Alligator mississippiensis: one gene and its partners. The protein of the gene in region 4 binds, or shares a complex with, the protein of the main gene of each other region. Links are inferred from orthologs where the notes say so. Each region holds a gene or a part of one and is shown on either strand. Other genes may lie near its edges. The genes, in order: SOS1, RASGRP4, GRB14 and HRAS.

Region 1 (7,311 bases), on a different chromosome or scaffold from region 4:
AACTCAATTGGTTAGAGTGTGGTGCTAAAAATGCCAAGGTCACAGTTTTGGTCTCTGTATAGGACACAAGACTTGTCCTGACTCAGGCAGGAAGTTGACCTAGATGACCTCTTGAGGTCCTTCCAGCCCTACTTCTCTATGATATCTATGATAAGGTGCCTCAAACACCCTTTCATTAGGGGTTTGAAAGAACTAGCTGGCTCAGAGAGATACCTCTTAAGGCAGCCTGCCTCTCCTGAAAGCCTCTTCAGCAGGACTCACTAATGCAGCCTTTCCCTCCTTTCTCCATATACTGTTTCCTGCTGGTTTCTGGAGGAAGCTATTTTGCTCAAGCTGATTCTGACTCAGGCCAATTAACTTATTGCATCCTAGCACTCCTCCTGAACTTAGCATTTGTGTCGTCTTAGCATCTGTAGATCAGTACCTCTGCCAGGTGTTATACCCCATTTCAGGATTGCAAGTCCTGATATTTCATAGCCAGTGGTGACATTTATGGGCTGGAGCAGATAAAAATATCTGCAAAAACTACAGTCAGATATTGAAGGCGAGTTTACAAGGTTTGAAATGGACCCTTTTAAATTTTTTTAAGTAGGGATTGGAATTGAAAATGTTGTCGAAGTCCTGATTTAAATGTTACATTTGCCACCAACTGGGTGTTGGATCAGTGAAAAACAAATAATGGCTTTCATAACATTTTTGGTAAAAATATTAAAATTTAAGATTGAAAACACTGCAAAAATTTAGCAAATTAAAAAGTCAACGTTATTATTATGTATTTTTGGGAGGGAGCCGGGTGAAGAAGCTGAAAGTCATGTTTTGACTAAACATGTTCTTGCTTGAAACCAGGTGGCCCACTGAAAACTACTTGCCACTGCCAGTGCTTGGTGACGGACATGTTTCCTGGCAGCCTGTATATGGTAATGGCAACTGGTATCAGTCAGAGATGAATGAAGCTGTGCTGTCCTTTTGAGGCAGGTTCTAGGTCCAGCACTACCTGGATGCTGCTTTTAGTCTACAAATAAGTGTTTACTTATTTGTAAGGGACTACAAATAAGTAGGGCAAGGGAACAGTAGGACTTGTAGCCGGGATGATGGGGGTCAGGGAGGCCCCAGTGATTTTGAGGGATTATCAAAGGAGGTGCTTTACAGTAGAACCCAGACACTTCACAGGATCACATCCCTAACCTCACTGCATAGAGGATGGTTCAGAGCTAGAGCAAAAAGTTTCATGGGCCTGCTGATGTGCTCCAGCTGTGTAGAGAAGTGGTGCCCCTTGAGTAAAAGCAGCAGCAATCAGCTGAATGGCGTATCCTTTATTGGACAACCCACTGCTGTGTAAGCAAGTTGTAAACCGCCTGGATATGAATGGTCCAGGTTCTACTGTATTACCACTGGAAAAAGAAGGGGGCCAACAAAGAGCCCTGAGAGGTGTTTGCCACAGAGAGAATGGCTTTGAGAAAATATTTACCTCTATTTGGATTTCTGCTCACTGGGATTTTCATCTGGACTTGGGCTTTTGCTGCTGTTAAAATATTAGGAGCTTTGAGTCATAACATGCTACAAAATAATAATTGGTGGGTTTTTCCTCTTTGCCTGTTGGGGTCACTTGCATCATATTCTTAGCTTTCCTCAGGCATCTTGAGGTTTAGAAACTTGCAAGAATGAAAAATGAGATTCCTCATCATTCAATTCCCACAGGTGGAGCTTTAAGAAAAATGACCAAGTGTTGTGAGACACATGGGGCATGTCTACACATGGCTGTACAGAAATGTTGTTACGTTTCCATGCTTTAGTACTTCCTTTTGGAAGTACTAAAGCATGGTGCAGTAACTGCCTGCACTGCGCCATGTGTGCAACTCACACATTTTGCTGCTACATCCACATAATGGCAATCTAAAACAGGGGAGTGCACCGCTACAGCAATGTAGCTACCAATCACATGTAGACCCACATGATTGCTACCTTGTGGTAGCGTGCTGTATGGTGACATTTTTGCCCATGGTGCAATTTTAAGGTTTGGTAACAGCATGTCAGCTTCTCAACTGGTGACAATTCCTGGTGGGCAATGATGCTTGACAACTCTTGTCCACTGAAGACAGCAGGTAGTAGGTGGTCAACTTGTGCATCCTTGTTACTTGCTTGCACGTAGTGACAGATAAAGGACATTTTCACCCACTGCCTGCCATTTGAGGAGGGACATTTTGTGCCCAAAAGCCTATCTAATCTCTCTCCCAACTCTAGAGATGGTTTAAGAATAGACATCACCATACAAATCTTCCTTCTGCCATTCAATAAGCCTACAAGAAAATGGTGAATACTTGGTGAAACATTGTGGTGTGGAGGCCTTTGACACTTGTGTACAGCATGGTAGCAGAAAACTTAGCCTGGTTGAAGCGGCAATAACGTTGCCCACCCACTCCCACATTACAGGCATCAACTCAGAAACAAAGTGGTGCCCTAAGTGGCTCTTCTTGAGCATGCTGAAAATCTAGGTCTTGAGCATGGCACTGGGGTATCTGAGGTTGTCCTCAGCAACTCCATGCTAGGGTAATGCAGATGGAGTGGGTGGGTGAGACCAATCATTCTCCTGCTGCAGGGTAGATGTGCCCCAGGAGAAGGTGGAAGGCTGTCAGTTACCTGTGAGGCACTGCCATGGCTGGTGATGGTGGGTGGAAGCATGTCACAGTCAGGCACTGATAATTTGGGAGCCACTGGTGGGTGGTGACAGGAACTGTTTCCTAGCAACAGGTACCAGGGGAAGGCTGGTGGCTAGGGCCAGTGACATGAATCTCACTATTACCACCAGTCCTCAACATCTTTGCCCTCACAGTGGGAAATGGGGAAAGGCTGTTACCCCATTGTGCACATCAGACTGGGCGATTTTTCACCAGTGGACCTCCATGCCCTTCAAGGCAGCGTAGCAGCACCATGCCCATGGGACAGATAGGTAAAGGGAGAGACAGGATAGATGAGGCTCAGGACAGTGAACCTGCTGGCTCAAGATCACCCACTGTCCTCAGCCCTAGTTTGGCCTGACATCCCAGGAGAAGAGTGGGCCCACCCTGTGTGCTTGCTGGCCAGCTGCTTCAGGAGGGCTAGCCCCCTGTCTGGGGACATGGCCTGTGCTGAGGTGGACTCCCAGGCTCCCTGCCCTGGGCTGCTGCCCCTGCAGCTGGGAGCTGCTGTGCGTGGGCTTAGTGCTGGGCCCGTGAGAATGAGTGCTGTCAGCATTGCCAGGTCTTAACCATGAAATTATAGTATTGGAAGCTCAAAATTATTGTATTTGCTGAAAAACTACTGAAGACTGAAAAGATAACTGTGCAAATAAATCTTTTTCTTATTTACTTTACATTGCTCGCTAGAAACCAGCAGTGAGTGAGAGAGAACTGGGTCATCCAAGTGGAAGCATTTCTTTATTTTGAGGCAAACCATCATAAGAAAGCACTGACAGCAAACCAAAGTCAGCTGACTCCCTGAAAGTGATGTGGTTTTTGCATAAGCTGCATCAATGAGCTGTCTCAAAAACTTTTCTACACTTTGAACATGTTTAGCATTGGTGCTTTCAGGGGTGTAGGTTGTAGCCCTGTTGGTCTAAGGCAGGGGCAGGCAATTTGGGCAGAGGGGTGCTTACTGAGTTTTGGCAAGTCATTGAGGGCCGCATGACAGGCAGATAAATATTAATTTTTAAAAACATTTTAGGGGACCTGCAGGCGGGACAGAATGGGCTGGCAGGCCATATTTTGCCCACCCGTGGTCTAAGGGCATAGGTAGACAAGGTTCATTATTGCTTAGGCATTATTAATCAATCAATGTATTACTACCATCAATCAATTAAATATCATTAATCTTATTAATCAATGTATTCATATTGTTAACCAATTAATATTAATCGTATTATTACTGTCAGTCAAATTATTAATATTATTAATCAAATCATTCATTAATAATTAATTAATAATTAGTCATTATTGGTCAGGCATCGAACGAAGGCGGAAGCTATGGTACAAGCGCGGTAGCCAATACACTGCGCGCTGTGCAGGGCGGGGAGGGCAGGCCTCGCGCCAGCGCCCGCCACGGCTGTCCCTGTGGGCTCCTCCCTGCCGCAGGGGGCGCTGCGGAGCCCCCTCCGCCGATCGCCCAGCGAGGCGTTCGGCGCTCGGCTGAGCTGGCCTGGCCACTCGCTTCCCTTTGACGTCCGCATCTGACCTGGCGGCTGTTGGGCGCACAGGCACGGCGCATGCGCCCTGGGGGAGGGAGGGGGTTCAGTGTCGCCCTGCCGCGCATGCGCCCTGCGGAGTAACCGTCCGGGCACGGGAAGAGCCCCCGGAGCTGCAGCCGTGCTCGGGTCCCGGCACAAGCCCCGCCCCCCGCGCCGGTCCCGCGCCCCGCGCTGCGCCCCCGGGCCGGGCCCGGCCATGCCAGCGCGGCCGGCGGGGTAGGGCGGCGGGTGCTGAGGCCAGGCCGGGGCCGCGGGGGGATGCCGCCGCCGCCGCCCGGCGCCCAGAGCGGCCGCCGCCGGGAGCCGCTGGCCCCGCGCTGAGCCCGCCCCGCCCCCCCGGCCCGGCGGCAGGATGCAGGTGCCGCCGCTGTTCCACGAGCTGTGCAGCGAGGACAGCGCGCCCAAGTGGCGGGGGCTGCTCGTGCCCGCGCTCAAGAAGGTGAGCGGCGACCGGGGTCTTCGGGCCGCACTCCCCATGGCGGGGCGGGCTCCACAGGTGCGGGGCAGGGCCCCGTGTGTGTGTGTGTGTGTGCGCGGGGCGTGTTGTGTGTGGCGCACAAGCACAGAGAGACACGTGCACAGACACCCGCCCCCCGCCCACCCCAGCGTCTCGGAGGAGCTGCCAGGGACCCGTGGCAGAGCCCCAGGCTTGCACACAGCGTGGTTTGCGAAACACTGGTGGCTAAGGTACAAGCCTGTCCTGCAGAAGCTTCTGCTTCAGTGAGAGGTGCCTGCCCACAAACTCTGGTTTCATTTGGCCTCTTTTTAGAGCGGCGGTTCCCAGCCCCGGGTTGCGACCCAAATTAGTGTCGCGGGGGCAATGCCGGCAGCGCTGCACACAAAACATGAGCCGCGCCGCATGTCAGGAGCTCCCCCAGGCTGCTAACGCCGCAGTCTGCTCCCAGCAGCGGGTTGCAGATAAAAAAGGTTGGGCACCACTGTTTTAGAGCTTTGTTTTGCGAAGAAACCTGAATCGAGGGCAGGAGAGTAAGTCTCACTTGCTCCTGATACTGGCATTGGTGTGGGGGAAATGGGTCAGGGCTGCTCACTTCTGACTTCTGCCTGTAGCAAATAAGAACGAGGCTTTCCAGAAACTGTTTTCTGAAGTGGTTTTATATCCAACACTTAATCAACACCTTGCACTCAACATGTAGCAGCCATTGATGCTGGTATACTGATTGTACCAGTGGATGCAAACTTCCTTAATGTGGCTGAACTGGGGGCACTCCACAGCATGGACTGGGTATCCCAAGTATTTCAACTGCATTGATTCAGCTCACCTTCCCAATTTTCTCTTGCAATGCATTGTTTCATGTTTCACAGCATGTTCATCCAAGGACTCTGTGCGTTTGTATCAAGGAGCAGGTCTTTCCTGACCCCAGCACTTGCTGGTACAGTAAGTGATCATTACCTGTTTCTGAGAAAAAAATAACTTTTGGGTTAACTACCCAAATCCCTGAGGCTTTCAATGCCTTGGGATGCTCAAGCATCAAGGTAACTGAAGCCTGCTTGTGAGTTGCAGGCCAGTTGCAGCTTGCGGATTTGGCTCACTGTTCTGTGCTGTGCTCAGGGTTTGCTGTGCTGGGAACTCAACACAGGGCTAAGTAGTCTGGGAATAGAACAGGTTTTGATTAGAGGTGCACCAGTATATCGGTCCATGTTGTATCAGCACCAACAAAAGGAAAATTGACATTAATGGCAATCGACTTTCTTTGTGTGATGTGGTCAATAATGTCTCCGATAAATGGCGCATGCATGGGCACAGCAGTAGCATGCACACGGCCAGCCTGACAGCTTGGAGAGTAGTGTCTGGCTGGTAAGTCTGTTGGGGGGTGGGGAAGAGGTATGCGGGGGAGCTTATCAAGGCCCCCACAGCGAGGGAGGGTGTGGGGCTGGGGCAGGGGCAGCATGCACCCCAGGGAAAGGCACGGGGGGCACGTGCCCCACAGATGTGTGTGTGGGGCGAGGGCGGGCTGCCTGCTGCGGTCTGGGGTTGAGCCAGGCTCTTCCCAGCGGTGGGGTTGGGCTGGAGTTGCACTTGGGGTGGGGGGTGGTGCTGAAATGGGGGGGCTACAGGGTGGACTGCAGGCCACCCCAAAATTTGCTGCAGCCCCTCCTCCCAGGGCTGCCACCACCATTTGTCCCAAGCGCAGCCCCAACCCAGCACCCCTGCTAGGAAGAGCCTGGAGCTTCCTCCAGCCCACAGCAGCAGCCCACTATCACCACGCGCACAGATCCAGGGGGCACACACTCCCATGCCTCCTTCGGGCACGTGTGCTGTGGCATGAGCAGCCCGGCCCCTGCCACACCCGCCCCTGCCATACCCTCCAGATGAGCCGCGCACAGCTCTGTCCTGTGCCTTGTCCTGGCTGGACAGCCCCTGCCCAGCCCCATTCCCACTCCCTCCCCCACTGCAGGGGTCCTCAATATGTCCCCCATACCCCTTCCCACCAACAGACTTACTAGTCATATGCTGCTGTCCAAGCTGCTGGGTTGCATATCGGCAGTCGCATCCGTATCAGCTGATGTGGCTCGTTAATAATTAGCCATTGGTATTGACCCAAAAAATCTTTATCGGAGCACCCCTAGTTTTGATAGTATGAACCAGAATAAAACTGCTCTTTGAAATTGCATACATCAATTGCAGAATCTGTGAAGTTGTTAATTTCTGTCCTGGTGGGCAAGTCACTTAAGGCATCTTTATACCTGCTCTGGGGGTTGGTGTGGAGGGAGAGGGCTTTAATTGAAGCACCCACCGTGTCTCATGTATTCAGCGCAGGTGCTTCAAAATGGTGGTGGGGGTGGTGCTTTAAGTAAAGCTTGTTTGATGAGCTTTAGTTAAAGTACCGCCGCCACTATTTTGAAGTGCAGGGGTGCCGAATACATGAGATGCCGAGGCTGCTGGAGCGTGGTAATTAGCATGCTCCAGCAGACTCCATTAATCGAGTTTGCTCTGACGTGCTGTAATTGCAGCGTGTCAGAGCAGGCGTCCTGCACATCTACAAGCACCCTTAGTGAGCTGACTCGGAATGTCACTGCTCGCTGAAGAACTTGATGAAAATGGGCATGTTCAGGACCAAGAGAAGAGTAAC
Region 2 (7,599 bases), on a different chromosome or scaffold from region 4:
AGGCTGCAGCATCACACCCAGCCCTGGCTGCTCAGGGCTACCAAGCACCCAGCCAAGGGCCTAGGGCAGGACAGGAGGGCACTAGGCCTGACCCCCTCCCCACACAGCCCCCACCCAAGGGCAGGTGCTAGAAGCCCCCCACTCTCCCCCAACCCAATAGCTCCTCCATGAAGGACCTGCAAGAACCCCCACCCTCCTTGGCCAGGATCATGCCCCTCTCCCCAGGGGAGGGGGTACAGATCCAAGACTGCAGGGGTGGAGCTGGGGCACAGGCAAGGAAGGAGTTAAAAGCAACTTTTGGGGTGGAAACCCCAGAGTTTATTAGCACCACTGGACACATCAAGCTAAAACTCAAGGGAGCTGGATCCCCCCCACCGCCGGTCACACCGGGAACATACATGACCCCTGCATCGTCACAGGCACAGCCCCCCGCATGCCTGTCCAGCTGGGGGGGGCCCAGGGCTTGCGACCCCGGCGCCAGGCCAGGAGGCGCCCACAGGCCCGGAGGACCCCCCGCACACAGCGGGGCCTGGCCCCGGCCCCCTGGGGCCGCTCATGGCTGCAGGAGCGCCGGCCGCGCCAGGAGCTGCACAGGCAGCCACTGGGGCACGGGCCCACCTCGGGCACCTGGGATGGGGAGGGGAGAGGGGGGGCCACGGGGCACCTCGAGTCCTCTGGCCAGCTCAGGGAGCGCCGCAGCCGCCGGTGCAGGAGGGCGGCCCGGTCTTCAGGTGGGAGGTCTCCGCTCGGCCCTGCAATAGACACCCCCCGTCAGCCAGGCCGGGCACGCAGCTGTGCTCCGCTCTGGGTTGGGACATGGGGTGGTGTCGTACCACAGGGGGGGCACAGGGCTTCGGCCACCATCCTCTTCATCTGGCTCCAGCTGCTGGGCTCTGGGACCCAGGTGTCCCAAGGAGCAATGGGCGCAGGCTGCAGCAAGGAAAGTTGAGGTTGGATATTAGGAAGACTATTATCACTGGCAGGGAGCTGGGGGGTGGAAATAGGGTCAGGGCCAGCTCTGGGGCTGGTGCTGCCCCTTTAAAGCTACACCCAGACACCTGGGTTCCACCCACCCACCCTGCCCCATCACATGTCATAGGCCCCATCACAACAGCCAGGGGGAGTCTCCTCATTCACCTGATACATCCCGTTGGGGGCCTCCTGCCTGGGACCCCAGGCCAGACTCCTCGGTTCTGGCGCTGGCTCTGGGGAGGAAGCAAGGTCCGGCTTAGTCTGAGGGGGTCCATCCTCAAATGGGAACCACCCCCTCCTGGCCCATACCTGCCCCCAGGGGCTCTTCGAAGGGGTCTCCAGCCTCGTCAGCTGCCGGCCACCTGCAAGGGGGAGAAGCTGATGGGTTTTGCAACCGCCCAGCCCCCTCCCACACCCCAGAGGGTACCTACCACTTCCCACAGCCGGGGGGTGCCCCCCATGCCTTCCTCTTGGGGGGCAGCGCCGGGGCAGGGCCACCTGGGGGGACAGCAGGGCCATGTTTCAGGTGCACCCCAAAAAGCACCCCCCCAGCCAGGAGCAGCCCAGCACCCCATGCAAGAGGCATAGGAGAGGGCTGGGGGGGCTCCCCAGATGCCGGGGCTCTCCCCCCAGCTCAGGATGGAAGCGGGGGGTTGTTCCCAGCTCCAGGAGGGCAGTGGGGTTCAATAGTGAGTGGGGGGGGCTCTGGTTCAACACTCCCCTCACCGTCGCAGCGAGGCCTTGGGGTCGTCTCCGCCACCGATGCATCGCCGAGCTCTGGGGCCAGGAGTTCGTCCAGGAGGGCCTGGGGGGCGCAGCCTGGAGGAGACGGGGGTGTCAGAGCCTGAACCCCCCCCCCCACCAGCCCCATGTCCCACCCCAGAGGCAGCTGCATCACTGCCCCCCACTGCACCCACCGATGCTGGGGGCCTCCTGGATGAGGGTCTGCACCGCGGCTGCCTGCAGCTGCAGCCGGAGCCCCCAGCTCGGCCCCGGGAACAGGGTGGGGGCGAAAATCACTGCCAGGTTGGCGGCATCCATCTTGTTCTCATCACACCTGGGGGGGCAGAGGAGAGCTGAGCCCCCCCATCCCCGGGCTGCGGTGGGGAGCGTGGGGCACCGCAGGACACGGGGCAGGGGGCTGCAGCGGGGAGCGAGGGGCCCCCACGCACCTGGCAGCCACGCGGCGCAGGAAGCAGCAGAGGTAGCGCAGGGCGCAGGCGTGGGCGGGGGGCAGGAGGCCGGTGAGCAGCAGGGTGAGGGGGGCACGGTCGGGGTCCGGCTCTCGCTGGGCCTGGCACAGGGGCTCCTGCAGCGCCGGCGGCACCAGGGGCTCCGGCAGCTCCCGCAGGAACCGCTTCAGCAGCGCGGCCACGTCGCAGGGTGCCGCCAGCCCCAGGCAGGGCTCGCCCCCCGCCACCCGGGCCTGCGGGCAAGAACCCAGGTGTCCGGTCCCTGCACCAGCACCCCAACTCCCCCCCGCCCCCCGAGACCCCAGGGGTCCGGGCTCCCCCACCCCCAGGAGGGGCCGAGGCCTCATCCCCAGGCCCACCTGCCCACGCCCCAGAGGCACCTGTACCTTTAAGGCCCTGATCCTGGCCACTGAGCCGGCGGTGCGGAAGAGCCCCGGGGTGCCCAGGTGCGGCTGCAGGGCCTCACAGGCCTCCACTAGGAACCTGTGGGGGGGCAGCCACCGGGGGGCGCTAGTGCAGCCCCCCCTTCACCCCCTCCCCCCGGGGTACGCCTGAGTCTGCAGGCAGCCTGCAACCATGCTCCCAGAGGGCGGAGCCACAGCAGGAGGAGGAGCTGCCAGAAGGGGGCAGGGCCAGACATCCCCCATCCCCAGGGGTCCATCCAGGAGCCCCCCCCACTCACCGAGGCAGATCCAGGGTGTCCGAGGCGGCACCGGGCTCCTGGGAGAGGAGGGCGGTGAGCAGGAAGGGGAACCCAGGGCTCCTCCTGCTGTAGCCACCAGGCCTCACTCCCCTCCTGGAGCCGTGGGACCCAGGCATCCTGCCCACCCCCTGCCCCCATGATAACCACTGAGCCCTGCTCCCTTCCTAGAGCTGGGACCCGGGCATCCACCCCTCACCCCCGCTCACCCAGCCGGACGTTGCAGCCGCTCTGGGCAGGGAAGAGATGGGGGGCTCAGGTTGGGGGAGCCCCGCCCCAGCCAAGTCCCCCAGGGCTGCCCCAGACTCAGCTGCAAGGTGCAACCCCCCTGCGACACGGTCCCAGGGAACCAGGGGTCCGGGAGACGCCCACGGCCACAAAACCCAGGTGTCCGGGGCACACCCAGGCACCCCACCACAGCCGCACAACTCAGGCATCCGACACACGTGTGCACACACACACCCAGAGAACCCAGACATCTAGGACACACCCCCTCCCCCCGCAAGCATCCGGGACTCATGCGTGCGTGCATGCACGTTCACACACGCACGCACCCCAGGCATCTGGGTCTCGCACGCAAACTCACACAGAGCATGTCCCAACAGCTGGGGTGGGGGCAGGAGGGGAACGCGCACACCCCCTGCTCTATTTATCTGCTCCAGGGCACTGGGGCAGGTGAGAGGATGCAGTTGCTAATTGACCCTGCTAATTGCCCTGCCCCAATTAGCTCCAACCCAAGGCAGTGTTTGCAGCCCCCACCTGAGGGTACTGTGTGTGTGTGGGGGGGAGGGCACACAGAACCCAGGTGTCCGGGGTACACACACACACACACACACACACACACACGTGCACTTCCCCCTGCAGAACAAGGGGTGTGTGCAAGAGCACATGCAATGCCTGGCACCTGGGACTGGACCCCTCAGCAGTGCCCGTCTTGTCCCCCCCACCGAGTGCTCAGCTGCACCCGGGGGTCCCCAGGACTTCAGCAACCCCCCACCCCCGTGCTGAGCAGAGCTGGGGGGGCGGGGGGGGGGAACCAGCCCAGGGGCCTTGGCCTGGAGCAGGCGCCCCCGCCTCCCCCACCCCCGTCCATCCCGCTGTCCTGCCCCTCGTCCCACCCGTCCAACCCCACCATCCCCCGTGCATCCCTCCCTCCCTGCACTGGGGCCTGGGCTTTGCTGGGGGGGACTGCAGGGGTCCCGTGTCCCACCCCCGGCAGCCCCGCAGGGTCTCAGGCCGTGTGGCCTGCGAGGCTCCCCATTCCCATCGCACCTGCTGGAGAAGGGTCCCACTGGCAGCATCCCGGGGTGCAGCCCCTGCAGCCTAGTGGTTAGAGCTGGGGGGTAGCATCCATAGCCCAAGCTGGTGCCAAGCCACAACAGGCCTTATGGCAGGAGGAGGCCATCGGGAAGCCCCAGGGATCCACCCCAGCACCCCCTCTACCTACCCCCCCACCCCGCCAGGCCCTCCCCGCCCCCCGCGCAGCCTCCTGCAGCACCCGTCTCCGGGAGACGCTCTCCGCAGACCACAGCATTTCTTGCCTCTTCCTTCCTTCCTCCCCCCCACTGCATGCACGGCCTCTGCCCAGCCCGGCCGGAGCGAGCCCTGGCCCAGGGAGGGGGCTGGAGCGTGGGGGGGGGGCATCCAACAGGGGGCGCCGTGCCCAGGGGGCAGCTCCAGCCGGGTGCCAGGGCTCCGGCCGGGGGGCGGCCAGACCCGTGGTGGGAGCCCGGGTGCTCCCGGGGCCGGGCACCCCCGCGGCCCCCGCCCCGGCGCGGCCCTGACATCACAGTTCCTCCTTGCTGGGCCCCGGCGCCGCCCGTTGCGTGGGGCCGCCGTGCCACAGCTGGGCCCGGGGCCGGGGGGGCCCGCCGGGGGTGCTAGAGACCCCCCCCAGCCCCGCACCATGAACAGGAAGGAGAGCAAAAGGTGAGTGGGGGGGGGACTCTCCCTCCCAGAGACGATGCCGCAGCCGATGCGACCAGCTCTGGGGAGGAGCGGGCACGGCGTGCTAGAACGGCGGGGCGGGCGCAGGGAGGGGGATCTGAACCTCCCCCTGAGCTCCCAAACACCTGCGTCCTGCCCCGGACACCTGGCTTCCCTCCTGCCTCTGGACGGGGGTAGGGTGGTCTCGTGGGGGGCAGGGTCGGGGTCCCAGACACTGGGATCGTTCTCCGGAGGCTGTAGGGTGCCGGACGTCTGGGTCCCATCCCCGGAGGCAGTGGGGCCTGGGGGGTGCCGGACGCCTGGGGTATCTCCCCAGGGCCTGGGGGGGCAGAGCCGTGTCGGGGCCGGGGTCCTGGACGCCTGGGGGCAGTGGGGGATAGGACGGGGGCAGGGCCGGGGTCCCGGACGCCTGGGTCCCATCCCTGCAGGCTGGGAGGCCCGGTGGCCGAAGCAGTTGGGCAACGGGGCCGGGGAAGGGGAAGTGGCCTCCACGGGCTGCCGGGCCGTGTTGCAACGGGCTGCCGGGAAGAGGCCTGGGGGGAGCCCAGATGCTCTGCAGCTCAGGAAGGGGTGTGAGGGCTGCGGGGGGTCCTGGGGGGCTGCAGGGCTGGAAGCAAGCGGTGACCCCCGCCCCCCACACGTGGCTCCTCCAGGAAGCCCTCGGTAGAATGCGCCGGCCTCGTGTCCAGCCCCGGCCCCGGGAGGGTCCGGCAGCGCCCGTGCCGGCGCCGCATGACCTGCCCGACGCCGCGGGAGATCCACACGGCCGTGGCCAGCCTGGCCCTGGGCGAGCTCGGCCCCGCCTGCAGCCTCGCCCAGCTGCTGGACAAGTGTCTCGACGCCTTCGGTACTGGACGCCCACCCCGCCCCCTGCCCCTGCCCCGGTCAGCTACAGCAGCGCCACCCCGACACCCCGCTAACAGTCCCTGGGGGGCCGCGAGGGAGGAGGGGGAGCCTCTTAACCCTTTCCTGCCCTGCCCTGCCCAGACCTGGACGGGACGCTGTGCCACAACGAGTACCTGGTGAACATGACGCTCACGGTGCACGACTGGGTGGTGCCCTCGGCCGACCTCGCCCGCTGCCTCCTGGCCTTATATCCTTGGAGCCGCCCCGGAGCCCCTCACTCCCGCCCTGCAGCCCCCTGCCCCCCCAGCGCCCCTCACTCCTGCCCTGCAGCCCCTACCTCGGTGGGGGGGGGGTCTGGGAGAGGGGTCTAGGCTGTGATGGAGCCTTGACTCGGATGCACCTACCGGGAGACATCGGGGGAGCGTCAGGAACAGCGGCGCTTGCAAATCTGCCACCTGCTGCGGTGAGCCCCCCCCAGTGCCCCCCTTACCCGCCCCGGGACCCCCCCAGGGTGCTCATGGCCCCCCTGCCCCAGGTACTGGATGGCGCAGCAGCCCGAGGCCTTCTGCCTGGAGCCGCAGCTGGAGCAGGCGGTGGAGGAGCTGCGCCAGGCCGCGGTGCAGGAGGGGCGCCGGGGCCATGCCCAGCTGCTGGACGAGGCCCCCAGGTGAGCCCCCCCCCCAGGCCCTGGGGCCCAAGGCGGGTGCAATGGGTGTGCCAAGGTGTGTGCATGAGGCTGAGCATGCATGGGGGGTGTGCATGAGGGCAGCCGGGCCCGCGCGTGACCCCTGACCCCCGCAGGCCGACGGCGGGAGGGGGCCGCGGGCCGGGGGCCCGGGGCAGCCCGGCGCCCGGGCCCAAACGGAAGGTGTCGCTGCTCTTCGACCACCTGGACGCGGCGGAGCTGGCCGAGCACCTTGCGTACCTCGACTTCCGCGCCTTCGCCCGCATCTCAGTGAGACCCCCAGCCGGGGACCCCCCAAGACATGGCCCCGCCCCTGGGACCCCCAGGGCATAGCCCCACCCCCCTGGGATTCCCCGGGATAGAGCTCCTCCCCCTGGGATTCCCCTCCACCCCCTGGGACCCCCTCCAGGACTTAGCCCTGCCCCTGGGATTCCCCCCCAGACATGGCTCCTCCCCATGGGATTCCCCAGGACAGAGGGGACTGGTAGGGATTGCATGGGGGTGTACGTGCCCCCCCCCGACCCCAACACTGATGCTGTCGGCAGGGCTGGTGCCCCCCTAACAGGGCCACTGCCATCAGCAGCTATTGCAGGTGCCCCCCCCCCCCCCCCGATTCAGGAGGCACCAGTCACTCATGCCCCAGGGTTTAGGGCCCCCCAGGACCTTCCCGAGGACATAGCTCTGCCCCCTGGGATCCCATTAGACATATCCCCATCTCCTGGGATTCCCTAGGACCCCCTACCCCCACCCCCCCAGGCCATGGGGCAGCTCTGACCCCCCGTGCCCCCCCAGCCCCGGGACTGCCGGTGCTACGTGCTGCAGGGGTCGGTGCGGGGGGCCCCGGCGCTGGAGCGTGCGGTCGCCCTGTGCAACAGCGTGTCGCAGTGGGTGCAGGTGATGGTGCTGAGCCGGCCCACGGCCCCCCAGCGTGCGCGCGTGCTCGCCCAGTTCATCCATGTTGCACAGGTACCTGGGGGGGGGCACAGTTGGAAGCAGGCGTGCGTACACAGGGGGTGGTTTTCACACACATGAGTACAGGAAGGGGGGGCCTAGGAAGCGCACATGCGTGGGTGGCCACAGAGATGCGTGTGTGTAAGGGTGTGTTTGTACAGAAGAATGTGCATGTACATGGGTGTGTAAGGGTGTGGTTGCATGCACATGGACACGTGCCCTGGACACCCTGCACATGTGAGTAACGCAGAGGTGCATGCGCATGTATATGGGTGTGTAAGGGTATGTTTGCACATGCATGAGCA
Region 3 (7,178 bases), on a different chromosome or scaffold from region 4:
GCTGTTTTTTCTGCTGTGAATCAATTGCATTCCAAAGAGGTTTGGAATGCTAAGAAATACTGTATTTAACATATTTTCAATGAATTAATTATTTGCTGGAAGCTGTTTTAATAAAATCTAGACAAATAATGTAAATGGCCTAACTAATGAAACTACCATACAGAAAACCATATCTAAGAAAGGGAAAAAGGATGACCCAGGGAACTACAGACGAGTCAGCCTCACCTCAGTCCCTGGAAAAATCATGGAGCAGATCCTCAAGGAATCCATTTCAAAGCACTTGAAGGCAAAAATGGTGATTGGAAACAGTCAACATGGATTCACCAAGGGTAAGTCATGCCTGACCAACCTGATTGCCTTCTATGACAAGGTGACTGGCTCTGTGGATGCAGGGAGACCTGTGGATGTGGTATACCTTGATTTTAACAAGCCTTTTGGTATGTTCTCCCACAGCATTCTTGGGGGCAAGCTAAGGAAATATGGGCTGGATATATGGACTGTGAGGTGGATAGAAAACTGGCTGGAGCATTGGGCTCAGAGAGTAGGAATCAATGGCTTGATGTCTAGCTGGGAGCCAGTATCAAGGGGAGTGCTGCAGGGGTTGGTCCTGGAGCCAGTTTTGTTCAATGTCTTCATCAATGACCTGGAAGACGGCATAAAGTGCACCCTCAGCAAGTCTGCAGATGACACCAAGCTGGGGGGATTAGTAGATACGCTGGAGGGTAGGTTTTAGAGTGACCGAGACAAATCGGAGGATTGGGCCAAAAGAAATGTCATGAGGTTCGACAAGAACAAGTGCAGAGTCCTGCACTTAGGATGGAACAATCCCATGCACTGGTATAGGCTGGCGGCTGGGCAGCAGCTCTGCAGAAAAGGACCTGGGGGTTACAGTGGACAATAAGCTGAATATGAGCCAGCAACATGTCCTAATTGCCAAGAAGGCTAACAGCATACTGGGCTGTATTGGTAGGAGTGTTGCCACTAGGTCAAGAAAAGTGATTATTCCCCTCTATTCAGCACTGGTGAGGCCACATCTGCAGTATTGTGTCCAGTGTTGGGCCCCCCACTATAGAAGGGATGTAGACAAATTGGAGAGAGTCCAGTGGAGGGTGACAAAAATGGTGAGGGGTCTGGGGGATATGACTTATGAGTAAAGACTTGGGGAACTGGACTTATTTAGTCTAGAGAAGAGGAGACTGAGATGAGACTTAATACCAGCCTTCAACTACTTGAAGAGGGGTTTGAAAGAGGACAGAGCTACGCTCTTCTCAGTGGTGGCAGATGACAAAAAAAGGAGCAATGGTCTTAAGTTGCAGCAAGGGAAGTTTAGGTAACTTTAGAAATAATTTTATCTCTAGGAGGGTAGTAAAACACTGGAATAGGTTACCCAGAGAGGTGGTGGAAGCTCTGTCCTTGGGGGTTTTCAAAACCCAGTTAGACAAAGCTTTGGCTGGAATGATCTAGTTGGGGATGGTCCTGCTTTGAGCAGGAGGTTGGACTAGATGACCTCCTGAGGTCACTTCTAACCCCGACTTTCTATGATTCTATAAAACCAGAGACATAATATTAATTTAGTAGCATAAAGTGCTCCATTAAAAAGTATACAGATCTTTTGAAAAATTAGAAGCTACCACCTTTTCACAGTTTGGCTTTGACATCAAACTGTGCTATTTCAAGATTCGTATCTGTTCTAGGTCCTAGTTTCCTCTTATATTAGTAATGGCCACTTCTCTGTTTTAATTAGGGTGAAGTTTATTGCAATGTACCTGTTTCAACAAATAGCAAGTTCCCTTTGTTTGTAAACAACCAGTACTTTTGCTATTGAACCAAACAGCAATTATAATCAGTCTTTAGACTGAAATTTTGAAAACATTTGCCAATCTCTGTGTATAAGAATTCTTAATCAGCTTGGATTCTTCAGCTGCCACAGTAACAGAGAAGGAACTATTGAGAGGACAAAGAATTCCTAGTTTCATTAAAAAGAAATGTTCTGCAAAATCATTTGTAAGTCAGCCAGAATAAAAACTTCTGGTGTTTCTCCTACTTAAGACTATTTCTTCATACTGATAACTGAAATGTTGGCCTCTGAAGCTAGTTCTGGAGCCTTAAAACAACATCTGTTCTGAAACAGGTTTCTTCAATAACAATTTAAAAAACCACTCACTTTCTAAAGTTTTTCAAATATTCTTAGAAGTGTACTACATTCCTCTGGCTTGGGCTTGGCCCTAATCATTTGACACAGTTATATTCAGAAGCAGTTTACCAGTTCAGTTCAATGCAGTTAACTGCAGTGAACAGAGAAAAGTTTCAGGGGGGTTACTATACACTAGGCTGAGTGCATATCAAGAACAGCTGGGTAATTACAGTTTTTTCACTTTGAATTTTGAGTGGAGTCACAATTAGGTTTGCTTTCAAAGTCCTAGAACATGGCCACAACTTAGTGAAAGGACTATTAGGTTTTATGCTCTCTTAGATGCAACTTGCTAGTGATGAACAATGGGATATGCAAGCAGGTGCTCAGCTGGTATTTGCAGTTCCCTCCTGCATTTCTCTGCATCCTCTACAAACCCAAGCTGGGGTTAGCATCTTGTTTTGCTTGAGGGGCTGCTGCCAGGGCTGTAGGTAAGAACCAACCTTGAAGAGTTTAAACAAACACAATGACCAAGATAGGCCAATAGCAATAGCTTTATTCTCCTTCAAGAAAAATCTGGGGTATGGAGTGGGGAAGTGCCTAAAGTCACAAGGAGAGTAGAAGTGACTGCTCCTCTGACCTAACACCTGAGCCCCATGGCCAGCTGCCCAGAGGGAGGCAGCTTATGGCTTCTGGGTCAGTAAACACCACTTGGTCAGAAAAGCAAAGAAAAAGTAAGTCAAAGAAGAAATGTCAGAGTGAAGAACTGGCAGGATAAACAGCTGTCAGAGGAAAGCTTGAAGCCTCCCCTGGAAAGAATCATTTCATGGGTGGATCTAGGATTTTGAAAAGTGGGGGGCAGGTGATGTGGCACATCGTCGCATAACACAACACATATCGTTCTCCAGTTACTCCACTTGGAGAGAAACAAGATACTTTACTAATATGCTAGGGGTCAAGTACTTTAGGTGCTGACACATGTGCAGCTCCTGCTCTAACTCATGGTGCTTCACAGCAGGTGTCATGACTTAGACCCCAACCCCCGCAACAGGCATTCACTGTTTGGTAGGGGGAGGTTGCGGGGAATCAAGCTCTACTTTGGAGGCCACTCAGCCAATCCACCCTCCCTTCCAGCTGGGGCTACGCAAACCCCAGCTCTGAGTGCATTCCCCTCCAGGATCCTTCCTCCTTTCTTCCAGAGAGCACCTGGTGGGGCAGGGCTAGATCAGAAAGTCACCTGCTCAGCTTTGGAGCACCTTCATCTGATCCCTTGTTATAAGGGTTAATTTGTGACGTGATGGGGCATGTGGACGTCTGTCATGGCAGGGCTGTAGAGCACTTTTAGGGGGCCAATGACTGGACAAATGTCACTTTTGTTAGCACCCTTAATGAATCTGTTTAAGACCAAAGCAAAAACAAATATCACTACTGGAGTGTGCATTCCTTTGCTAATTGTATATACAATTGAGCAAAAGCATGACAAACCATGCAAAATTAGTCAACAGGTAGTGTTGCTTGAACCCTGTAGTCATTGGAGGCAAATGCACGTCACTTTTTCAGATTCATAAAACAAAATCCAGCCTTCTTGAGAGACTTGGCAGTGCCTTCGCTGTCAAGCATTTCTACCCCTCGGCTCACGCTGCCGCACGGGAGGGAAGGTTTGCGGCTAGACCTGAACGCAGGGCGGGGAGACGGGAGAGAGCCGCTGCGAGGGGTGGCCACCACCCTGCAAACTTGCAGAAGAAAGGAGGGGTCGAAGAGCGGGACTCGAGCCCACGGAAAAGGAGAGAGAGGCTTAACACTGGTGGGGGAGAGAGATTAGCAGGAGGCGATAAGGAGCCGCCAAGCGAGCACAGCCTGTCAGCGCTGTCCCGGGAGCCGGAGGTGCTGGCTGCAGGAGCCCCGGGGCGCATCCCCCGCACCCGAGAGCAGAGCGGCCGCGCCGGGGCTCCGCGCTCCGCTCCGGCCGCTGCTCCCGCCGGGCGGCGCCGGCGCCGAGCGCAGCTCCGAGGCACGTGCTCCTGGGGCTGCTCGCGCCCGCGGCCGGCGCGGGGATGGCGGCTCCGCTGCCGGAGGGGCGGCGCGGCGCGGCCGGGGCTGCCCCGTGGACGGCGCCCGCCCGGACCCGCTCCCCGGCGGCGCCACGGCCAGACGGGTAAGGCTGGGGCCGGAGGGGCAGTGCCGGGGGCCGGCCCGGGCTCGGGGCTGGGCTGTCCCGTGCCGGGAAGGGCCACGTGCTGCAGAGCGCGCCCCCTTGGCTTCCCCTACCTGGAAGTCTGGAAAGGGCCGTGGGCCACAGGAGCCGGGCTGGGGGCGGCCGCCCCGCGACAGGCTGCCCGCCCTGCCCCCGAGCTGGCACTGCGCTGCCTCGTGGGTGTGAGGTGGTTGGGTGTGGAGCCCCCCCCTCCCGAAGGCGCTCGCTGCTGGCGGCAGAGCGTGGCCGGCCGCGCACAGATGTCACCCTCGTCCGAGGTAGTGTCAGGCGGGCTCCCTTGTGTGGGGTAGGGGGCGAAGGAGAGCCCTCCTGCCTCATGAGCCTGGTCTGGCCACCCCTGCTAGGGTCCTGTTAGCGGGGTGCTGCGAGGCCCATGTGGTGGAGGGCGGGGACTCTGTTTCCCCCCCTGCCACAGCTCTGGGCACAGCAGTTTCTGCTGCTATCAAGATGCTCACACAGGGGCTGGGAATGGAGCCCCCAACTACACGGGCCCAGCCGAGCAGGGGTTGCCAGGCTGGGACATGGTGGGGTGGCTCCCTCCTGCCCTGCTCCAGCTCCAGGCATAGCTGCCATGAAGCTGGCACTTTCCAAATACTCAGGGAGGGGGGGCAAGGCCCCCCTGCCTTGCTGGCTTGACCCAGCTCATCCCAGGACCCCAGCAAGGGTAGTTGAAGGAGGCCAACTCCCTCCACCCTCCCAGCCACTGCTGACCATTACTAGCTGGTGGTGGGGTGTGGGGTTGGGGAGAGGGGCAGTCCAGCAGCCTGGAGCACCTCTACCTGCAGGCTTGGACCAGTGCACCAACAGGCAAATGCTTGTTGGGTTCAATGGTACTCTAACAAATGGTGCATTTTGTAAAGCACCTTGGGTTAAAGCACTTCCCCGACATGCTTCCTGAGCTTTTTTACACACCCCTGAGGTGACATGAACTGGTGCTATCTCCCAAGGCTAGCTTCTTCATCCCAGGCTTGGAAGATAAGGGCTTGATTTGCCCAGGACAGTGAATATTAAAGCCATGGCTGTTATAACTGATTGCTCTCAGCCAGATTTGTACCGTGTCTCCAATGGAATTCAATTCAGTGGGGATTAAAAGTCTAGCTCACCTACTTAGCTTCTTATGAAGTTTCTGATAGTTTCACTAGGCTGAAATCTGGAACACCTTAGAATATTGTGAACACAGTATTTTTCCCTTCCTTCTAAAAACTACACTTGCTATCAAATGATTGCTCTCTAAATGCATTCAGAAACACAAGCAGTGGTCTTTTGCATCATTCAGTTTATTTTGATGGTCTGTAAGACTTGTATCGTACCAATCAGCAAGTGAAACCTAGAGTAATATTGGAAGTGAAGTTAAATATTAAGCTCAGAATATCAACTTGCACAAAGTGGGGGAGGGGGAGTGGAACTGGGTACTAGCAAAATCAAACCAGTATTTATGCTGTTTCAGTTTCTGTTGCCTGTGATGGAAGTTGTACATTAGATCCTCATTTTATTTTACATGTGAGAAAATATCTCAATGTTGCTTACAGCATTCTAAAAGCTTTGCATTTGGTTGCTTAAAAAGAGAGTTCTAAAACCATTCTAAGGCAAAAAATTTTGCAAAATGATATTGAAATTGATGAAGTTTGTAGATAGTGCTTGGCAATAATCATGGCAGCAAGAGAATTAGATTTAAGTAGCGCTTAGCATCTCCTATTAGTTGCTGTATTTAATAAGGCAGGAATGCAAAAGCATTGAGAGGCAGAAAGAAATGTCTTCCTGTGTGATATTCCAATCACTTTGGCCATTACCCTGCAAAATAACTTACCCACCAGCTTGGTTTACTGCAGCAAGTAGGCAAATTGAAACAGACTTGTAGTAATGGGTGTGTTTGTAAGACTGAAGTTCCACTGGTGTTCCTGAAAATACTTGCTAATTCCAGAAGCCAGTGCAAATAGATTCATACACTTATCCTGCAAAGATTTACATGCAAACGTAATTTTACACTCAAGAGGAAGTGCTGGGATTACTTCATGCTCAGTATTAAGCACATATGTAAAACCACATGCAGTCTGCTGGCAAGGAGCTAACAAATATAACTGATGACTGAGGCACTAAACATAATAATGTCGCTGTATTTAATAGATGGTGATTGCTTATTTCAGTTTTAATTCTGGTAGCAATTACATTGTGGTCCCTGCTCTACTTATTTATTGCTTTATGTTCTTTATTGATGTAGGAGAAAAAAGAGCCAACTTGATGTGCTGGAAATCCCATCAATTCCAAATCCATTTCCTGAGCTATGTTGTTCTCCATTTGCTTCAGTTTTGTCAGCCAGCCTGTTGCCCAAGGCAACTTCAAGAAAAAAACAGGTAAGATTTATTTTTGATAAGGCACTTGGATCTACAAACACTTCTATTTTTCTCAAGGTTTACATAAATTGTGTGTGCCTGGGAGAGGGATGGAGCTTCACATATACTTCTCTGGTGCTCTGGGGGGGGTCTACTGAGTGTGAGACAGACACAGAGAGACTAAATCTGGGTGCTCTTTAATGTCTGTAATACTGTTTCTGGATTAAAATCTGGAGATTGAGTGAGGAACTCTGTGAAAGTTGAAGTAATTTCCAGTAGCATTAACTTCTGTGGATGCTGTTGAGTCATTAAACCTCTCAGGGGCAGCATGAGTCTTACTGGAAAATGTTCTACGATTGTAAGTGAGGCCTGGAAAATGGCCTTTGCATTGAGGGTCTGGCTGTAAACTCCCATGTAGCTCTTTAAACTTGTTCCAGTAGAGAAGATGTCTCAACTCTAAAATCAATCAGGATGAAATTTTCACTCTCTTCTGTTTCCCCTC
Region 4 (7,903 bases):
GATTCCTGTACACTTCAGTACCCTGCCTGCTCGGTAGGAATGGATAAGACAAGATAAGACAGGCACTGCAGAGAGGCGGCGTGCTGTGCATGCATGTGCCTGTGAGAAACCCGGTACCTTTGCATTGCTGATGTTTTCAGCTCGCTTGGCAGAGTTGATATTTCTCTCTGAGTCGCAGCCCTCATTTTGTGGCAAGCTCATTGCTTTTCAACTGCTGTCCTGACTCTAAAACATCTAACAAACATTTCTGAAGATAGGTTACATTTGAGCCTATTTAATGATGACACTGTCCTTTTAGGGCTGGCCTTTAAAGGCCAATCTTGAAAGTCCTCTGGAAGGTTTCTTGGTGCCTAGAGAGAGAGAGAGTCTGTACATGTGTGTGTATGTGCACCCATGCACATGCACGCATGCAAGAGAGCTGTGCTGCTAAAACTGCATGATTTTGTAAAATTACAACCAAAGAACAGGTTGTGCAATACTTTCAGTGCTCAGACTATCAGCTATTTGTGGCAGGAACTCTCTTTTTATGACACCCAGAAGTAGCAACCTAGTTCATTGAAGCCTGATCCCTATTCATGACTGGTAAGCACTCTTGCAACACAAAGAATAAACAAATCTTCAAAATAATGCTTGAAAGACCTACCAGGTTGATCTGAGCAGCACTTCTCCAGGATTGGTGGCATATATGTTACATTGAGCCATGTTTCATTACTCAGTGTGTACAGACTGTGTGAGCCTTTTCCGTACAGCAACATTATCTTCAGAAGCTTGTAGTAGGTTCCTTAGCATGCCAGGCGTACAGAGGCAGCTGTTAGAGGTATTCTCCAGGGCAGATCTCACAACTGATTGATAGAAACAAGTCACTATAGGGCAGCAATGAACATTCCTCTACCCATACCAGGGCTGAAAGGAGAACTGCTTGCAAGTGACTGAAAATCCTTGTCACCAGAGAAAAGTGAATGGAGTAGAGGTTTAAACCCTTTGAGACAACTGCAGGCAAATCACAGGTTGAAAACTGGCCTCCCCCAGTGGAAGTGGCACCAAAACCTGCTTCAGAAGATGTAGACTCGGGGTGTATCTGTGCTGCTACCTAGAGCCACTCCCAGATCTGCCTTCTAGCCCAAACCAGCTGACCATTCACATTAGAAACCCTCCTTGAATTTGCCCAAAGTCTAGTTTTCCTCTAGCCTGCTCTTCCCCTGCAGTGTAGCGTGTTCATTATTCACCCAGCATCTGGTGGCACTTTTCTACTCTCTTTGTTTCCACTGCCCATAATTTAAACTGGGTACAGGAAGAAACAGGTAGTGGCCTGACTTGATTCCAAGAAGGGCTTGAGCCTCTCTAGGAACCAGTCTGCCTGCTAATGATCTCTGTGTGTGTGTGTTTGTGCAGCTGTACCAAAGTAACATCAACAGAAAGGGCTGCCTAATGTCACTTGAGGTAGGTAATGGTGACCTGTAGTGCTGACCCTAAGTAACAGTGCACAAGTAGACAGGCTCTGGTTCTGCTTCTGACTTGTGGGATGTATGGGAAGTGGGGATACCAGTATTTTCATAGTTCACAGGGCCACTCCAAGGATTAAGTAGCATACATTATCACAGCATTGTTGTGGCACAGGCCGATTAAATGTGCTTTGGAAGGGCAAGCATGACTGAACAGCAGCTGCCACACACAATGCAGCAGGCATGAAGGGGTTAATTAGAGCTCTTTCCTCCCTGTTTGATTCAAAACATGTTATACTCTTGGAGTTGGGGGTAAGGAGGGATTTATATTTCAAGGTGTCTGTAACACAGGCATAAGACAGGGAGGGAGCTTGTGCTGAAGGCAACTCATCTGTTTCTCCCTGCTTTCCCCTGGATGGGAATGCTGGGAGCAAGCCTCAGCACACAAGCTTGCCTCACCCTGCTGTAAGGGAAAGGTCTCCTCCAGTTCAGTGGGTTTTTCTGAGTGGGACACAATAGCTCATCCCAAAGAGGGGCAGGAGGAAGAGACACAGAGAGAGGAAGGATGGACACACACACACATGCACACACAGGGTACATGGGGGGAAGAGTTGGCCAGAGGGGAGCCCTGCCTTGTAGGAATGCCAAAAGCAGAGAGAAGGAGGTGCCTGGAGGAAGACCATAGGTGGATTAATGCATGGGCCAGCTGGGCCCAGGCCCAGGGCTCCCTGCCAGACAAGGACCCCTAGATGCCTGGGGGTGGGGGGAGAGAGGCGGCAGCTTGGCATGGACAAAACCATTGGCTGGGCTGGGCCGGGCGTGCAACACAGCGGGCCAAGGCTGCCAGGTACTGGGTGGGGTGTGGGGCACGACCGTGCAGGAGACCTGGGAGTGGCTGGAGCTGCCCGTGGCAGGGAGTGCAGCTGAGTGCAGTGCGTGGCTGGGACCTGCCAGTGGCGGGGCAGCCCCAGTCCAGCCAGGTCCTGGCTTGGCCAGCTGCAATCCTGGGTGTTTGCTGGATGCTGCTCCAGCTAGACTGAGCTATGGCAGGTCGAGTGGCCACCCCCAGAGTTCAGTCCGCACTGCATGTGCCCAGGAGGCAGTGGCTCTGTACTCCCAGTGCTGCCTAGTGGCGGGGCAATGTTGTCATATGCGGGGTCTCATGCAACTGACCCCAGGCTCCAGCTCCAGCGTGGACCTGCAGGCAGGGGTGGCCGTGGCTCTGCAGCGCATCTCACTCTGGGTGCTGCTCGAGGATGGAGCCCGTGGCTGCAGGGCGGGGTGCAGGTCAGGGGGAGAGGAGCCTAGGCCGTGGGGTGGGTCCAGGCCCCAATGGCTCTCATTTTGCCTCTGAGAAGACTGCTGGTCCAGGGGAGGAAACACGTGCCCAAGGAAAGGGAAGCAGGACTTCAGCGACTAGAGCCCAGTGCACACACGTGTACCAAGCCCAACAAATGTGTACATGCAGATGCACACACACATCAACCCCAAGACATGCACACACACCAGGCCCAACATGCGCATGCGTGCACCAAGCCCAACACCCACACACACCCCTACTCCAACACAAGTGTGTACACAAACACAATTACCCCAAAACAAACACACACATGCACCAACACACACACATGCACCGATTCCAACATGCACTCACCAAACCCAACACATGCATACACATCCCAACCCCCCATGCACATTCCCCCAGACACACAGGTATGCGCACACACACACAAATGCACCAATTCCAACACACACAGGTGCATGCACAGATACATACACTCCCCCAAACACATGCAAGTACACACACACACACGGACACATGCATACACCAATTCCAACAAATGCAGGCGCGCGCGCACACACACACACACACACACATGTACCGTACCCCCACACACACCAACCCCACCCAACACAAGCAGGGATGCACACATATACATGTACACACACCAACCTCAAGATACGCAGGTACATGCACATACACAAGCACCAACCCTAGAACATGCAGGTGTGCACACACACATATATGTATCCCCACACACATCAACCCCAACACAAGCAGGTGCATGCACACATACATTAATACATACACAGACACCGCACACGCATGTGAAACAACCCCAACACACGCAGGTACACACAGATGCACCACCCCCACACCAACCTGAATACATGCAGGCAGACACATACCAGCACACACGTGTGCACCAACTCCAACACACACAGGCACCAACATAACACCACCCCCAATACACACAGAGGCACTGACATACACACTAACCTTAACACATGCAAGTACACACACCCTCACACATACAAGCACCAACCCCAACACAAGCAGGTGCACACATACGCACCCCCACCCCTCCCAATCCCAGTACACATAGGTACACACATATGCATCTACCCCACAGAAACCCCAATACACACAGGTAGACACACATACAAAGACACACACAAACACAGGTACACACATATGAACCCACATACACCTCAACCCCAATACATGCAGGTAGACACACACTGGCACACACTTGTGCACCAGCCCCAACACACACAGGCACACATACACACCAACCCCAACACATGCAGGTGCACCCCCCCCACACGCACACCAACCCCAATACATGCAGGTAGACACACACAAGCACCAACCCCAACACAAGCAGGTGCACACATACGTACCCCCACATCCTCCAACCCCAGTACATGCAGATACACATACACATACATGCATCCACACACACCCCAACCCAATACATGCAGGTAGACACACACACCAGCAGAAACATGTGCACCAACCCCAACATACACAGGCACCCACATACACACCAACCCCAACACATGCAGGTACACACACACACAAGCACCAACCCCAACACAAGCAGGTGCACACATACGCACCCCCACACCCCCCAACCCCAATACACACAGGTACGCACATACGCAGATACACACATATGCACCCACACACACATCAACCCCAAAACATGCAGGTAGACATGTGCACGCACACTGACACATACAAGCACCAGCCTCAACACAAGCAGGTGCACATATAGGCACCCCACACCTCCCAATGCATGCAGGTCCACATCTATGCACCCCCTCACACACCAACCCCAATACATGCAGATGGACACACACCAGCATACACGTGTGCACCAACGCACACAGGTGTACAAACCTCAATACATGCACCCGCACACAAGCACCACCCCCAACACAAGCAGGTGCACAATTCGCGCCCCCAACCCCAGTACACACACGCGTAGACACGCGCGCGCACACCCAGGACCGGGCGGGCAGGCGCAGGGGGCGGCGCTGAGCGCGGGCTGGCGATGCAGCACGAGGGCGCCGGGGCGGGGCCGGGGCGGCGGGAGTGTGTGTGCGCGCTGCCGCCGGGTGTGTGTTGTCACTGTTGTGTGCCTGCCCGCGCACCCGCACACACACACACACACACGCGCGCGCGCGCGCGCTGTGCCAGCGGCGGCAGCGGCAGGGCAGCCCGGCGCGGGAGCCAATGCGGGGCGGGCGCTGTAGGCAGGCGGCCCCTCCGCCCCCGAGGTGGGCAGCGCCGCCCTGCCCCGGGGCCGCGGGCCGCTGACCCCAGCGCTGCGCTGAGCTGCGCTGCGGGCGCCGCCCCGCCTGGGCCGGGCCGGGCCGGCCGGGGGATCGCTGCAGCCGCCGCCGCCGCCGCCTCCCGTCAACTTCGGCCGCGTCTCCCTCCTCTCCGGCCCGCGCCCGCCCGCCGGAGTCGGTGAGTCGGGGGTCGGCGTCCGCAGCCCCGGGCGGCGCCTGGCTCAGCCTCGCCCCCACCCCCTGTGCCGGGGGAGCCCGGGGCTGGGGGCAGGTCGTGCGTGGGAAGCGCTGGGAGAGCCCCCTGGCTGGAAGGGCTGGGGGTGGGGGTGCCCCTGCCACCTGTTGTGAGTGCATGTGGGGTGTGTGGTGAGCATGTGGGTGAAGGGTGTGCATGTGTGGGGGTGAGTGCGTGTGTGCATGGGTGTGGGGTGAGCAGGTGCGCGTGTGGGGTGTGTGAGAGGTGAGCCGGTGTGCGTGTGTGGGGTGTGTGTACATGTGTGTGCATTGGGGCAGGGAAGCTGCAGCCCCCCCAGTCTAAGAGCATACTGCAAATTAGTTCCCCCCCCCCCCCCGGTTTTTTCCAGACCCTCCTGTTGAGTGAAACCAGGCCCCCTGCAGACTGATCGCTTGGGGGGGGGGGGTATGTGTCTCATCCCTCCAGATGACCCCCATGGAGACTTTCCGTGGAGGTGCACGTGGGAGGAGTGCACTGTGTGGCATGCCTGGACCTGTGTGTGTGCTGAGGTCATTTGGCGGTGGCATGGATCCTGGCTGGCTTGTGTCCCAGCTGCCCCATCCCAGCCTCTTGCAGCTGCGGAGGGAGCCCCAGGTCTCTGCACACCTTGTGCAGCAGTGATAGGATCTCCGGCAGATGCTGATGACTTCTGCTCTTTCCTGCCTAAAATCTGGCAGACTTTGGAGAGGGGAGAGGGAAGGAGGGGTGGAGAATCACCTGCTTGCCTGCCCCCTCGGTCTTAACAATGACTCTGCTTTCTGTAAACACTTCCTGCCAGTCCAGGGAACATGGGGAAAGGAATGGGAGGGGCACTGCATCCTCCAGGAGCAAACCACAGCCTGCAGTGACCCTTCCCTTGTCTGTTCCCCACCCCTTCCCCTTGTCCAGCCTCTCCTCTGGCTTTCATCCATGGGTTGAAATACCCACATGATACTGCAGCTTAGGGAGTGGTCCATGGTGATAGCCAAGCAGGCATCTCTCTTTGCTGAGCCTGGGCTGCCACAGCTCCGTCAGGGTGTGCCATGGAACGAGCGCTGTCATGATTGATAATAAACTTCTCCAGAGCGGTTTTGTTTGCAGCCCAGACGATTCCACTGCGCTTTGCAGGAGGGCTTGAAACAGAGACAGGTGTGGCTGTGTGGGTTTGTGTCTCTTTGTTTTTGTTTTTTTGTTTTAAGCAGGCGGCACTACCAGTTCGTGTTTTGGGGTCTCTAAGAACCTCCCTGCTTCCTGGGTGTGTCTGGCTTTCTAGTCTCTAGCATTATGTCATGCCTGCCCCCTGGTTGGGGAGAGGCAGATGCAGCTCCCTTTAGAGCTATTCCCAGCACAGAGGCACTTGGGAATGATGCCAGGGGAGTTCTTCATCCCCCCTTAGACCCCAGAGTGAGGCATGCTCTTTGTAGGGCCCACTGCTCCTAATAGCCCTGGATAGAAATGCGTTTTTCTCCCCTGCTAGCGGTCTGTGAGGGGGATGGGTACGGCGTGCATAAAAAATAAGCCAAATGGAAGACTTGCGGGAGGATTAGCAAGCACTCTGCGGGTAATGAAATGCTCTGTATAGCTAAAAGTATACATCACAGGGAGACATACTGGGGAGATGGTTAAGATTTTTAAAGTAGCCTAAGTGGATTAGACACCCGGCTCTTTTCAGTCTGGTTGGTTTGCTGGGTTACCCTAGTTAAGCTAAGTTACAGATTTATTTGCTCCTGAGTAGGCTCAGTTTACAGGGGTTTAAGCCAGGCTCATATTGGCTCAGCTTGTGCTGGTGAATCTTACAAGTGTAGGCATAACTGACATAACCAAAACACATCAATGCAGTGCCTGCACTGATTTCACTAAATAGCTGTCAGAGGAATAGTAGGCACCTTTGAAAAGCCCAACCTATAGATCCAAAATTAACAATGGAATTTCATACTTGAGAGAGATGCTAGTCAGCTTCAAGAATTGGGATAAGGTTACCCTGAGGGTTTAGTTGGTGGTGTTGCATTGCTTTAATCCCCTTGTGTAAATGCATTACAGCTCTATAAACAATATGGACATTGGTGCAACCAGACTGTGAGACTGGCAGTTTCAGGCTAGTCCATGGTATTAATGAATAGCCAGTGTGATGCCTATTTATTCCCCTTCAGTGGTCAGGCCGTGTACCTTGGGTAACTCCCTGGCTGCTATTACCATAGCACCTCACAGTCTTTAATATACTTATCCTCACAACGCTCCTATTCTCCTTACTTTACAAGAGTGTGTGTGAGCGTGTGTGTGTGGCTCAGACGTAGGGTGTGTCTGCAGTGCAGAGATACCTAAGCTAGCTCTGGTACTAGAAGCAGCAAAGCCAGCTGATTACCCCAAACAGAGCTCTGTACCTAACCCTGCTGAAAAAGGGGCTCTCTGCAAATACAGATTTACTGGTTTTGGTGACAGAGACAGCTAGGTCAGATAGCTCAACATTACACTGCACTCTAATGAGTGCAGAAAGGCTACATGGCTTGCCCAGGGGCATGTAACAGGGCTGTAGAAGGGCAAGGACTTGAATCCAGGTCCTACAGGTCCTAAGCTAGTGCTCTGTGCATTGGACCATCCTTCCTGTTCCTAGAAGGTATCCCCTGTGTCATTACTATTAGACAAACTTCAGTACTGCAGCACCGGT

What was found.
Region 1: the proteins of HRAS (region 4) and SOS1 are in contact, whole or in part, in a crystal structure (PDB 4NYM), measured with the Homo sapiens proteins. The link is inferred for Alligator mississippiensis from reciprocal best matches to the Homo sapiens genes HRAS and SOS1. Residues at the interface, in NP_001123914.1 of Homo sapiens: Gly13, Gly15, Ser17, Ala18, Thr20, Ile21, Gln25, Asp30, Glu31, Tyr32, Asp33, Pro34, Thr35, Glu37, Tyr40, Arg41, Asp54, Ile55, Leu56, Asp57, Thr58, Ala59, Gly60, Gln61, Glu63, Tyr64, Ser65, Ala66, Met67, Arg68; in NP_005624.2 of Homo sapiens: Glu589, Lys602, Trp809, Thr810, Lys814, Leu822, Met824, Ile825, Arg826, Thr828, Thr829, Thr832, Glu836, Asn869, Leu872, Val875, Ser876, Asn879, Ser880, Ser881, Tyr884, Ser908, Asp910, His911, Tyr912, Lys913, Leu916, Phe929, Phe930, Gly931.
Region 2: the proteins of HRAS (region 4) and RASGRP4 are in contact, whole or in part, in a crystal structure (PDB 6AXG), measured with the Homo sapiens proteins. The link is inferred for Alligator mississippiensis from reciprocal best matches to the Homo sapiens genes HRAS and RASGRP4. Residues at the interface, in NP_001123914.1 of Homo sapiens: Glu3, Gly12, Gly13, Gly15, Ser17, Ala18, Ile21, Asp33, Pro34, Thr35, Ile36, Glu37, Tyr40, Arg41, Asp54, Leu56, Asp57, Ala59, Gly60, Gln61, Glu63, Tyr64, Ser65, Ala66, Met67, Arg68, Asp69, Gln70, Arg73, Thr74; in NP_733749.1 of Homo sapiens: Tyr228, Gly232, Val234, Val244, Asn248, Ser251, Asn288, Met291, Ala292, Gly295, Gly296, Cys298, His299, Ser300, Leu327, Ala328, Ser329, His330, Asn331, Asn332, Tyr333, Ala334, Arg337, Leu351, Gly352, Val353, Leu355, Lys356, Val359, Ser360.
Region 3: the proteins of HRAS (region 4) and GRB14 are in contact, whole or in part, in a crystal structure (PDB 4K81), measured with the Homo sapiens proteins. The link is inferred for Alligator mississippiensis from reciprocal best matches to the Homo sapiens genes HRAS and GRB14. Residues at the interface, in NP_001123914.1 of Homo sapiens: Glu31, Asp33, Pro34, Ile36, Glu37, Asp38, Ser39, Tyr40, Arg41, Tyr64, Met67; in NP_004481.2 of Homo sapiens: Val109, Lys111, Asp116, Glu117, Thr118, Ser119, Arg120, Ala121, Leu122, Asp123, Lys140, His142.

Annotation. Positions count from the first base shown.
Region 1 is NC_081824.1:236,140,082-236,147,392, forward strand, and holds the start of SOS1 (son of sevenless homolog 1), read left to right. Parts: upstream 1-4,308; 5' UTR 4,309-4,571; coding exon 4,572-4,658; intron 4,659-7,311.
Region 2 is NC_081838.1:1,909,857-1,917,455, reverse strand, and holds the start of RASGRP4 (RAS guanyl-releasing protein 4), read left to right. Parts: upstream 1-4,587; 5' UTR 4,588-4,771; coding exon 4,772-4,794; intron 4,795-5,465; coding exon 5,466-5,659; intron 5,660-5,799; coding exon 5,800-5,905; intron 5,906-6,058; coding exon 6,059-6,121; intron 6,122-6,193; coding exon 6,194-6,325; intron 6,326-6,459; coding exon 6,460-6,613; intron 6,614-7,135; coding exon 7,136-7,309; intron 7,310-7,599. Other genes in the region: GEM-interacting protein, read right to left, coding at 382-752, 834-930, 1,138-1,205, 1,282-1,334, 1,404-1,470, 1,699-1,791, 1,890-2,029, 2,145-2,398 and 3 more.
Region 3 is NC_081827.1:217,685,982-217,693,159, forward strand, and holds the start of GRB14 (growth factor receptor-bound protein 14), read left to right. Parts: upstream 1-4,170; 5' UTR 4,171-4,185; coding exon 4,186-4,286; intron 4,287-6,564; coding exon 6,565-6,697; intron 6,698-7,178. UniProt on the Homo sapiens protein: Adapter protein which modulates coupling of cell surface receptor kinases with specific signaling pathways. Binds to, and suppresses signals from, the activated insulin receptor (INSR). Potent inhibitor of insulin-stimulated MAPK3 phosphorylation.
Region 4 is NC_081825.1:182,638,513-182,646,415, reverse strand, and holds the start of HRAS (GTPase HRas), read left to right. Parts: upstream 1-4,892; 5' UTR 4,893-5,202; intron 5,203-7,903. UniProt on the Homo sapiens protein: Involved in the activation of Ras protein signal transduction. Ras proteins bind GDP/GTP and possess intrinsic GTPase activity.